3 linked regions of the Canis lupus familiaris genome follow. The protein of the gene in region 3 interacts with the protein of the main gene of each other region in a biochemical or structural test. Links are inferred from orthologs where the notes say so. Each region holds a gene or a part of one and is shown on either strand. Other genes may lie near its edges. The genes, in order: RAB1A, USO1 and GOLGA2.

What was found.
Region 1: the proteins of GOLGA2 (region 3) and RAB1A form a complex in vitro, tested with the Homo sapiens proteins (2 studies listed by BioGRID). The link is inferred for Canis lupus familiaris from reciprocal best matches to the Homo sapiens genes GOLGA2 and RAB1A.
Region 2: the proteins of GOLGA2 (region 3) and USO1 form a complex in vitro, tested with the Homo sapiens proteins (2 studies listed by BioGRID). The link is inferred for Canis lupus familiaris from reciprocal best matches to the Homo sapiens genes GOLGA2 and USO1.

The regions. Positions count from the first base shown.
Region 1 is NC_049231.1:65,878,034-65,882,139, reverse strand, and holds the start of RAB1A (ras-related protein Rab-1A), read left to right. Parts: upstream 1-1,283; 5' UTR 1,284-1,432; coding exon 1,433-1,455; intron 1,456-4,106. UniProt on the Homo sapiens protein: The small GTPases Rab are key regulators of intracellular membrane trafficking, from the formation of transport vesicles to their fusion with membranes.
Region 2 is NC_049253.1:39,884,664-39,888,866, forward strand, and holds the start of USO1 (general vesicular transport factor p115), read right to left. Parts: upstream 2,832-4,203; 5' UTR 2,650-2,831; coding exon 2,584-2,649; intron 1-2,583. UniProt on the Homo sapiens protein: General vesicular transport factor required for intercisternal transport in the Golgi stack; it is required for transcytotic fusion and/or subsequent binding of the vesicles to the target membrane.
Region 3 is NC_049230.1:55,332,889-55,336,444, reverse strand, and holds part of GOLGA2 (golgin subfamily A member 2), read right to left. Parts: coding exon 3,502-3,556; intron 3,240-3,501; exon of another isoform or gene 3,219-3,239; coding exon 3,077-3,218; exon of another isoform or gene 1,939-3,076; coding exon 1,849-1,938; exon of another isoform or gene 1,743-1,848; coding exon 1,635-1,742; exon of another isoform or gene 1,450-1,634; coding exon 1,362-1,449; exon of another isoform or gene 999-1,361; intron 982-998; coding exon 641-981; intron 371-640; coding exon 257-370; intron 1-256. UniProt on the Homo sapiens protein: Peripheral membrane component of the cis-Golgi stack that acts as a membrane skeleton that maintains the structure of the Golgi apparatus, and as a vesicle thether that facilitates vesicle fusion to the Golgi membrane.

The sequences.
Region 1 (4,106 bases), on a different chromosome or scaffold from region 3:
GACAACCTATTACACTATGCCCTCTGCAGTTAGACAACCCAAGATAATGTGTTAAAGTTTACTGGAGGTTTAAATTCCTGAGCTGATTAAAAGAAGAGTTACGACTATCAATCGGGTCTCAGAAATGTTGTGAATGCCGTTCCCGGAGTCTCTAGGCACCGTGCAGCGATGCGTTAGTTGCACCTTCCCCTCGCTTATCATTCTTCAGTCTTGCAGAGCAGCTCCGCCTTGAGTAGCTAAAATTACAGTTCGGCTTGAAGCCTGGGACCAGGGCGGGAAGACCCTGAATTTCGGGCCGACTCTGGGCTGCACCGCGGCCACGGAGAGGCGCGGCCCCCGCAAAACGGTGGTGGGCTCGGGATGCAGCGCGGTTTCGGGGAGATAATCCGGCTGCGTCGGCCAGCGGCGGGGGCAGAGAGGAGGCCGAGGCTCCCGTCGTCGCCGGGCCGGGTGGTCGGAGCCGGGCTGCACGGGGAGCCGGGGGGCAATGCGACCAAGGAGACGGCACCGTGTGCGGCCAGCGCGGGACCGTGGCCCTGCACGGGGACCTGACCCAGCGGGGCCGGCCGGCTGGGGAACACCACCGAGCTCCGCGCTCTCCGGACCCCCGAGGTTCCCAGTAGGGGCCCCTCAATTCCTCCTCCGTCCTGGGACCAGCTGGGAGCTCGAGCTCTCAGCAAAGCACTGGCCAGGCGCGACCTGCAGCCCGCATTTCCCCCGCGGCCCCGCCCTCCAGCGCCCCGCGGTCGCCGCTGCACCCCCCCCCCCCCCCCGCAGCGCCCGCAGCCCCCGCCCCCGCCCCATCCTCTGTCCGCGGCCGGCGCCGCCCTCCGTCCCTCCCCTCCCCCTCCCCCCTTGGGGCGCCGACGCGCCCTGCTGCCACGTCTCACTGATGACATCACCGGGGCCGCTCGGGCTTAGCCAATCCGCTAGGGGGAGTCCGAGCGAAGTCCTAAGCCAGCGAGTCAGCGGGGCGGGGAGCAGGGAGGGGCAAGACGGGGGGGGGCGGTGAGCGAGTGGGGCATGGGGCGGGCGACAAGCGCTCGAGTGCGCCTGCGCCGGAGGCGCGGGGCTTGGCGGGAAGCTGAGTCGCGGCGGCCGCGCCGCCCCGTAGGCCTTCGGCGCCCGCCGCCGCGTTGGAACTCTCTTTCCCGGCGTGCCGCGCGGTGCGGCCGCCCTCCGGGCCGTGTAAAGACCCCTCGGTCTAAGGCTTTCCTATTTCCTGGTTCGCCGGCGGCCATTTTGGGTGGAAGCGATCGCTGAGTGGCGGCGGCTGCTGATTGTGTTCTAAGGGGACGGAGCAGGGGAAGACGTTTGCTCTCCCGGAACAGCCCGTTCTCGTTCCCGTCCCTCGATTACCCGTGGCGTCGAGAGTCGGGGCGGCGGCTGCGGCAGCAAGGGCGGCGGTGGCGGCGGCGGCGGCTGCAGTGACATGTCCAGCATGAATCCCGAATAGTGAGTGCAGGAGAGCACCGGTCGGCTGGGGCCGTGGGGCAGCCCGGAAAAGCCTAAGGGGGGGAGGCGAGGAGGGCTGAGGCAGAGGCGGGGGCCTCGGCCAGGGCGGGCGGACGGTGGTAGGGCCGGAGATGCCGGGAGCCGGGGCCCATTGTCTGACGGAAGAGGGATCGGCCCGGGGGGGGGGGGCGTCAGGGGGGCCGGGGGGGCCGACGGGGGGGCGCCCGGGCAGGTTGGAGGCCTTGAATGCCGGGCCAGGGCGGAGGAACAGTCTTCGGAGGGGGGGGTGGGGCGGTGGGAAGGGGTAGCTTCACGCCCAGGCAGTGACTTTGGAAGGAAGACTTGTTTTTAGGGTGGGAGGGCTGCCCTAGAGGGCCCTGTCGGGGCCGGCGCCCGCGCCCGCCGAGCTGTCAGAACCGTCGCGGTGGGAAGCCAGCCCCACTTGCAAATCTTGAGCTCGTTGGCTCCGTCCTTTCACCCCTCCCCGGCCAGGTTGCAGGTAACACGGATGCTTTTCAGGACTGCGTGGGATGGAGCGGGGAAATGAGTAGAAGGGGAGAACAGATTTTAAATTTTTAGTGGAGGGGGGGTTTAGGTTATTTCCTGGAGTTTTTTTTGTTTTTGTTTTTTTTCCGAGAAGTCACGACGGGGCCCATTGCCTCCCTAAAAACCTAAGCATTTGTGAGATTTCCTTTTTTTCTTTTTTTTAGAGGGCACTGAAGTCATTTGGTCTTGTGTAAGGTCGAGGAAAAGAATAAAGAGAACTAAGACGTAGGAACGTTTTTTTCTTTTCTTTTTTCTGATACTATCAGATTAAAGGAAGACTGCTGTCAAATTGAAAGAGAGAACGAAGGGGCTCTCTATGTAATCCGTAGGTTTTGGATTACCTGCTTGAATACTCGAAGATAGGGAGTGAGGTTCCATGACGTGTCATGAAAAGTTAATGCATTTCTTTTTCTTGCTCACTCAAGAAGTCCCCGCAGCATATGTGACACACCTGGCACCTTTCCTGGGAACTGGTGTTCACCTTCCTTGGGAAGACTTCGTTGGGTTCTCCTTCATGGCCCTTTAAATTCCTCCTTGGGTTTACCTATATAAATTAACGAATAATTGGCAGACATTTAATTGGTATTCCCCTTCAGCGTCAGAAGGCTTGGGGGGGGGGGGAGGAATTTTTTTTTTTTAAAGGAAAAAATTGGTATTTTAAAAGCTGTGAATGTATTTGCAGCTTTGGTCATTTACTGCTAAACATTTCCCCTAAAGGTCCACCCATCAGTTTAGCTGACTGTCATGTGTGTGTCACATGGCTCTTGCAAAATGCATTCTGACTTCCAAGTTTTGTAATAACAGTGGTTTGAAGCAGAAATGTCCCCTTTTGCACTAAACAGAAGCCGTGGTATTTCACTAAAATTTTATGTTCTTGCAGAAGTTGAGGCTGGTGTTCTCATGGTGCCACATTTGGCCACGGCGGCAGTTTTTAGTTTCTTTATCAAGGGCTCCGAGGACAAAGTGGGTTTTGCATAGTTAGGGAGAATGGAACTTGAGGTACCTAATCTGGTGGTTTTCCTGGCAACAATAAAGTACATGGATCTACCACTTTACGGAGACTTGTAAACCTCCTCTGTTCAGGGAGTTTCTTATATTTGCTAAGTATGTCAAGTAGCATAAGTAGATCTTTACGATTAGTTGGACAGAGCCATGACACATTAGCCTCTGAATTTGTTTCCCCTTTTGTAAAATAGGATAATAGGAGTCATTATTCGTATCAGGGTAGTTGTGAGATTTAAGTGCATGTAAAAGAAAACATAAGAGGACTCTAGGTGGTGTTATGTCATTACCATGTACGGCATCGTAATAGTGCTGGGATTTAGGAATACAATCCTTACCCTCAAGGAGTTTATAATGGAGTATAGAAAACCGTTATATATGTCAAATACCAGTAGATCTAGTTTGTTCCAAATTTACAGGATGGATAGGAGCAACAAGATTTCAAAGGAGGGTGAAGGATTGTGGTTGGCTAGTTGGTTTCAGGAAAATTTTATAGAAAAGAGAATCCTAAGAGAATTATTAACAGATTTAGAGAAGCACTAGGGAGTGAGGAGGATTTTTCAAGGGGGAAGAAGGAAGAATGGTTAATAAATGGCAGTGATAGTAATTCTTCAGTAAATACCGTGCCAAACATCCATTAAATTAATGACGTTAACAGAATCAAACCCAGAAATTATACTTTTTTGCCACCGAGTATATGCCAGTATCAGGTCTACTGTATTTGTATTCTAGACTAGTAACATAGGAGTTTGGAAAAACCTTTGGAAGAGCACTAGTGAGAGGAGGTGATGGGTATTTTATTAGAGGAGGTCACAAGGGCAACCAGCAGGCAGATTTTTAATAATGTGACTTCAGCAGGTTTTTTTTTTTTTTTTGTCTTTAATGAAGTTTGTTACCATCAAAAAGTAATTAGTGGAAAATAGAAGAAAGAAGGAAAGAAATTCTTAGTTTAATTACTGAATACAAGTCCATTTACTTTTAATACCTTGTTCTAAACTTTAAAACCTTGTATTTTTTCTTAAATTAAAACTTTTAGTGGGTGAGTGCCTTTCATAATTCCATGATGTTGTCTTAATACCTAGCATTTATAGCTACATATATGT
Region 2 (4,203 bases), on a different chromosome or scaffold from region 3:
TCCCAATGGAACAAGATGGTGAAACATTTTATCCATACTGCAACTTGGAATAAACTATTAATTCTCTTCATAAGACAAATTACTTTTCCAATTTTGAGTATACTCCTCAAAGTAAGAACAAGGATCCTCACTTTCCTTTCACTTTACACAAACAACATACACGAGTGATAATCAAGCTTCATTTTGAAATCACAATGTAGGGATGCCTGGGTGGCTCAGCAGTTAAGCCTCTGCCTTCAGCTCAGGGTGAGATCCCGGGTCCCGGCCTCTCTCTGTGTCTCAAATAAATAAATAAATAAATAATAAAATAAAATAAATAAAATAAAAGATTTTATTTTTATTTATTCATGTCAGACACACACAGAGAGAGGCAGAGAGACACAGGCAGAGGGAGAAGCAGGCTCCATGCAGGGAGCCAGACGTGGGACTCGATCCCAGGTCCCCAGGATCAGGCCCTGGGCTGAAGGGGCACTAAACCGCTGAGCCACGGGGGCTGCCCTAAAAATAAAATCTTAAGAAAAAAGAGAAATCACAATGTAAAATTTATGTTGTTTCACTCACTATGGCAAGATCAGTATTCTAGTCTCAGCTCTGTAATACTGTGCAAGTCGCTTCAGTGCTTTGTGCCTTAGTTTCCTAACGTAAAACGAGGTGGGGGGGGGGTTCAACCTGGATGATCTGCAAAGGACCTTCCAGCTTTAAAATCCTATATTCAATTATATACCATCTTTTCTACAGAAGTCGTTGTGACAAGGCCAACTATTAAAAAAAAAAAAAAGAAAAAGATAGTCTTCCTCTAAAATCATGTATTACATTTTTTTTTTTATTAAAAACTACCCTTTACTGAGCACATACTAAGTGCCAGGCTCTACTTCTTATTTCACTTAATCCTTATTTACACCCATAAAAGCAAGTGGTTCCCTTACTTTACTCACAGGGTATTATCCATCTCTTGCCAGGTCCAATCAAATTAGAGGTGGAAGACAAGGATTCAAATTAAAGCCTAAATCCAAAGCGAGCTCTAATATACTATACTTGATGCATCAAACGGAAAATATCAGAAATAAAATAAATGAACAAAAGCTGAAGAGGTGGGCTGTGACTCTGGTGATCTGGAGAGAGCAACAGTCTTATAACAAGGCAGCTCGGGTGCCTTGTAGCCATGTGGAAGCAGACGAAAGAAGCCAAATATCAGTCGTGTATGTCTGTGTGTGTGTGTGTGTGGACATGGACATGAAATCTCCCAATTTTCAAATAAAGGAAGAGAGATTCATCAGCTTTCAACTTCTGCTGTAAACAGTTCTAATTCAGATCTGTGAGGTTGATTTTGATACTTGTAATTTTCCAAAATTCCCGGGTAAGTATTAAAATATGAGCATCAGCAAGAAGACCTAGGCTAAGAAGGGAAACCATATTTGAATCCTGGCTTTGCTACTACTAGTAGCGTGACATTGGTCAAGTCACTTCACCTCTCTAAACCACATTTCTTCATTTGTAAAGTGAAGATACTACCATCTATCTGGCAGGGTGGTTAGATTAATGGAGAATGTGCACTATAAAGAACTCAGCATAGTACCTACTTCAAGATAAGAGCTTGACAAATGAAAGCTATTATTATCTTTCAAAATCCCAGTAACACAGAACGTAGGATCTATGTTCACAGACATCCCAATTATGTCTATGACTACTCCCCAAAGTTTACCTTTAAAATGTCATGCTTGGTCACTTTCCTGTATATCTGAAATCATTCTCAATTAGCTTATTTTTAAAATGTCACATGCACTCATTTCTAATAGAAACTAACCGAACTTCAAAATAAATTTATCTTAAACCTAAACGCTGAACCAACTATCAAATACTGTTTTCCGTGGCGAACAGGTTTTTAACGTGACGCTGCAAATCGTGTTACCGAGGAAGGGTTCAGACTTCTGAATCGGGTGAGTAGAAGGGAAAGTTAGGGATGAGTCCCAAAGCAGTTTGAGCGCGAAACAGACCTCCAAGTCCAAGCGAGTATAGCTGGGGGAGCCCGAAAAACGAGGCCTGAACTGGTGACACCTGGCAGAACGATTTTCCTCCAGTTGAAGGGACGGGAGCAGGTGGCTTCGTGCCCCCAAACTATCATTTCATTCTTAGCCACATGCTTTCGTCAACAGCTGGGTTTTAACCCTTCTTGCCACCTTCCCCCATGACCCACTGCAGGCTGCGACGGAGGGAGTAGGACCTTAGGTTCCTCTCGGCCTCTGGAGACAGGCGGAAGGGGGCAAAGGCCCGCGCGGCCCCGAGGGGCGGAGACAGGTCGAGCCACCTGCGCCCAGGGTCGAGCCCTTCCCGGGCGGGCCCCCCCACCCCCACCCCCACCCTGTAGAGCTTCGGGGCGCGGCCGCGGCCACCCGGGCCGAAACGCCGCGCAGGGGGCTGTGCTGGGGGCGTCAGGAGTGGCGCGGGGGTCCCAGGAGAGAAAGGGAGGCAAAGGGAGAGGCGGGCGCGTGGACTCCCGGCCCGTGGTGGGGCACGGAGGTCACCTCCCGGGCCCCGAGTCGTCCGAACCCTTCCCCAGTCCCGGGCCCATCGCGCTCCTCTCACCGTCTCGGCCTCTGTGTGCTGGGGCCCGGCGCTCTGACCGCCCATTACACCGCGGAGGAAATTCATCTTTCGCTCAGCCACCGGCTCCGCAGGCCCCGCCGGGAAAGAAACGGCGACTTTCCCTGCCCTCGGCAGGGCCCGGCCCCTACGCCCGCTCCCCGCACTCGCCGGCGCGGCCACCAACGCCTCCCACCCAGGGGCCGCTCCAGCCTCCTAAGCCCGGAAACAGCCGCCGCCGCCAGTCTAAGTGCGCGTGCGCGGGGACGTGGCATTACGTGGCGGCCCGACGGGCGCAGGCCAAAGGGGGACGGAGGCGACGGGGGGCCCGCAGCGCGTATCCAAGCCCGCCCACTGCGCATGCCCCGCCTCCCTGGGCGGACACGCCCCCTGCCCCGCCCCCCGCCGGTCGGTCCCGCCGGCCCCGCCGCCCACGCGGTCCAAGCGCGGCCCCGCAGCCGTGGGGGATCCGGGTGGCGGGTCCTGGCTTGCGGGGAGCTTGGCTGTCGCCGAAGGGGCCTCGCCGCCAGCTGTCGAATCTGGGGTCCTACTCTGTTGGGTCGACAGCGGAATTGTCCTTCGGCCGACGTTACAGGTAAGGGGCCCGGCCCTGGGAGGGCTCGTTGGGCCTTGCGGTCCCGCGATGCGAGCCTTAGGGCCTTCTGAGCCTCGTAAATCGCATTTCTTTACCGGGCTTTGTTTAGCGGTAAAAAAGGGTGCTAGAGCCCCCTCATTCCGTTGCCACCGGAGGGCGCATTTTCCAGTCCTTGCTCTCCAGACCTGTTACAAAAGGGATTCCTGGATCTGAACACCAGGTACTCCGCTGTTCTCCAATGGTGCGAAGTTGAAACCGATCGAGCCCTGCGCTTAGTTTATGAGAGAAAACGCATTGATCTGTAGTGTCATTTTGGCAGCTAATTACGTAATATTTCGTTATTACTTCTCAACCCCTGCATTTTCAGTGTTTTTTTTTTTTAAACATGAAAAATGTCTTTTTTTTTTTTTTCCAAAATGGTATGCCCTGCCCCTTTGGAAATGAGATTGCCCAGGTGGCTACACCTGCTTCTGGAGTAGCCTTGTAAATGTCTTGAGCGCAGGGTCGAGTTAGCCTACTGATCCATACACCTCTTCACTTGGATCCCCTACAGGTCCCGAATTCAGCATTTAAAATTGAACTCATCATCTTCCCCAGCCTACATTAAAGGGGGGAAATAAAAAAGAGAAATCACTATGCTTCTTTGTGCCTTACCAGTCTCAACAGTACCACTAGCCAAATAATTGCCTAAACTAGAAGGAGGACACTGGGGGGAATCTTATGTTCTGGATTTCTCACCCACCTGTCCAGTATTCAAGCTCTTTAATTTCTATTTATAGAATATTTCTCAAACAGGTCCTATGCTCTTCATCCTTGCTGCCTTTGACATAGTTTATGTTCTCATAATTTTTCACCAAGATTATAGCAGTAGCTTCCTAACTAGTTTGTCTGCATTCAAGCCCTGGCTTCTGTCCAGTCCAGCCTCCAGTCCAGTCACCCTTGGATGAGCCTAACAATGACAAAACATCTGTCCATGTAGGTACTCTTCTTAAAATCTTCCCGTGGTTGTCCATCTGCTCCATAATAAA
Region 3 (3,556 bases):
GGTGCACCATCTCTTGACCTCGTTAGGGGCCTGAGCTCTCTAGCCAGGACGAGGACCTTCAGCCCAGGGATACCCACTCTGTAGAGTCAGACAGCTGGGAGTGACAAGGGGCCTGCACCACAGGCAGGATTGGAAGGACTCTGGAGTCAGGTGTCCCCCCACAGGCTGGAGCTGCACCATCCTGGGCAACCTCCCACCCTCCGAGCAGGTAGGTTTGTCCTCCAGGCTTCCTCAGCTGGTGTGGGGGGTAAGTTACCATCTCCTTTAGCTCTCCCAGCTTCTCCTGCAGCTGGCCCAGCTTCTTGGCCAGCTCCTTCTTGACATGCTGCTCCGACTGCAGTGCGGTAGTAATCTCCATGTTCTCGTTGGACTGGAGAGAGAAGAGGAGTCAGTGGCCACCCCAGAACATGGAGTCTACCTCCCACAGTGCAGGGAAGAGTGGAGGCAGGTGTCCTCACCACCTCTGCCCCACTCATCTCAGCAGGGCTCTCCGGCTCACAGGGTGCCTTCAAGGGCACCATTTTCACATTGGGTGCATACACCCTTCCCCCATTTTACACGTGGGGAGACAAAGGCCTAGAGGGGTTAACTGTCTTGCCCAGCACCAAAAGACTTGGCTAGGAGGAGAAGGGCTACACACCAGCTTGACGAAGCCGTTCTGCAGCTCAACCAGCTGCTCCTTGAGCTCGCGGTTCTGGGAGAGCGCACGGCTGATGGTGGTGCGATCGCTCTGCATGCTCTCCAGAATCTGCTTGCGTTCCTCTGCCTGCTCCCCCCAGCACTCGGCTGCCCGCTCCAGCTCCAGCAGCCGCTGCTCCTGCTCCCGGTTCAGGCGACTCAAACCTTCGTTGTCTTTCACTTGGGCCTGCACCTGCTCGGCCAGGCTCTCCAGCTCCTTCTGTAGTTGTTCAGTCTCGGCGTGCAGCCGCTGCTGCTCCTCCTCCAAGGGCCTGGCTGGGGGCTCCTGGGCTGGGGGCACCACTGTGGGGAGCAGGGGGAGGGGGACACACGCTAGGGGCCTCTCACCTCTGTGCCTTCAAAAAAGCCCTCTTCTTGATCCACAGCTCCTAACTGGGCCTCCTCGCCCCAAACCTTGGCTTCCTGGCTCACAATCCCTCACCCTCAGGGGATATGCACTCTTTCAAGACACTTTTGAAAAGAGTTTTTAATATTTTTATGCTCAGGACAATTCGGAGTGGTTGCCAGCGGGCACACTGCCCAACCTGGCCAACTCCTAGTACGGACCTCTTTCCCTGGGCCACAGTCCCCTTCCATCCACCCACATCCTTAGGGCATTTGAAGGCATCCTCACCAGCCCTCTGGCACCAATCCTGCTCCCAGATCCTCCTGCCTCAGCTTACCTATCTGGTTCTTCAGTTCAGCCAAGTTGGCCTCCAACTCCTGCACCTGACTCATGCTGTGCTCCTTCTCTTCCCTCAATCTGTGCATCTGCCCAAATCACAGGGGGGATGGGTACATGGGTGGGGGGAAGTAAGACCATTGCCCTCTCTATTCCCACCTATAAAAATTGCACAGCCACCTCTGGCTGCATACCAAGTGATAGGATTCCCCTTTTACTGATGTCCAGAAAGATCAAGCAGCCTAAGGTGGGGGCGCTGAAGGTCACATCTCACCTGTTCAGACATCTGCTGCATCTTCTGCTGCCAAATGGCATTCTCCTCCTTCAGAGTCTCTGCATACTGGTCTCTCTCCAGCTGCAGTTGCTTTAGTAAATCTCTCAGCTACAAAAAGGGGCACAGATGTTAGCAGGGGCTGCTGCTGGGCCTAACCAGCTTCTAAGCACCTAGGGCCATCCTTCCACACCCCCTGCTCTCTGCAAGGCCTCACCTCCCCGACGTGGGCCTCCAGCTGTGTCCGCTCTTCCAGGGCCTGGTGTAACTCCTGGCTGCTGTCAGGGCTTTTGGATTGACTAGAAAACTGGAGAATGGAAAAGGAGAAGGTTAGATGTGGGGAGCCCAGGCTGTTGCAGTAATGCACCCCACCCCAAAAGGATCTGAGCTGGGATAACGTACAATTTGGCATTGATACAGATCTCTACCTTTACATTACGTTAGTATTGGGTCCACAGGCTTTCTGTTAACTAAATACTCATTGTAAGTGCTCCTCTAGCTCCCAGTCCTGCCAACCTGGTGTGTATTCTCTTCCAGGTTCTTTACTGGCTATAGTGAGGGTGGCTACAAACTGGCCCTGGTCCCAGAAATGGGGTGGTCAGGTCCCAGAGTGCGGGTGTCCATTAACTTCAGAGCAACCTCAAGCCCTCACTTCCTCTCTCTACCAGGCTATTTGTTAGACTACCCAGCCTAGGAACAGGCGGAGGCCATGTTCAGTCAACACCTGCTGAATGGATGGGGAGATGGTGAGGGAGATGGGTAGAGAGCCCTACCTGCTGCCCAGGACAGACCAAATTTGGAGACTCATGTTTCACTCTGGGGGGATTGACCAGAAGAGGAGCCTTAACCAATTGGTCCCATGCAGGAAAAAAAGCCGTCAGGAGGGTGACAGACCATGTGAGAAACAGCTGGGGCTGTGGAGCTTGGGAAAACCTGAGGGAGGGCCAAGGAATCTACAAACACACCCCCTCCGAGTATCTAAAGGTCTCAGGAAAGAGATGAAATTTTTCCTGTGTTGATTGGGAGGGAAGAACCCCACTGAAGGAAGTGACCTGAAGGCAGATTATCGCTGTGTGAATAAACACTGATGGAGGGGAGCTCTTTGGCCCAGGTACCCTGATGACCTGGTGGCCCCACCTCCAAGAGGAAGCAGATGGGGACTCATGGGCTAGCCTTGTGACTGTCAACTGTAGAACAATGGTTTGCAACCAAGATGCTTTAAAAAACAAAAATTTAAAAAGCCCCATCCCTGAGATTCTGAGTCCACATTGCTGCACAGGGCTCCAATTTGTAGATTTTGATCAACATCTGCAGCAGGATTCTATAGCAGGGCCAGAACAAGGACCCAAATATTCCAGCTTCTGGCTAACGGCTGGCCATCACAATCCCGGGAGACCACGGCCCCAGACAGATGGGACCCAGACTCCCTGGGGCTTCGGCCTCACCTGCTGCAGCAGGAGCTCCGACATCTCCAGCTTCTTTTGCAGCTCCTCCATCCCGAGCTGCATGGCTGCCTTCTCTCTCACCATCACCTGAAGCTTCTCTTCCAGTTCTGAGTTCTGCTGCTTCAGGTCCTCATTGTTTTTGCTATGGCCAGAGAGAGCAAAGGTAGGTATGAGTACAGAACAGAAAGGAGTACTCTGGTGATCAACCCACCACACTTGCCACGGGGCCACAGAACGGTCGGAAGGGGCCCCCGGGGAACATGAAGCCCAACGAGCAGGCCAGAGAGAAGACCCGCGAGGCCCAAGGCCACAGCCTGTGCTGGCGGCACAGCTGGGCCTGGAGTCCAGCTCTGTGCGTGTTCTAAGCCGTATGCGGTGCCCCCCTTCCCCTGTAGCCCTCCCACTTGCCAGCCCCGCTGTCCTACTTGTTCTTATATAACTCCAGCTTGAGGGTGTCTCGCTCTTTGGTTAAGTCCTTGT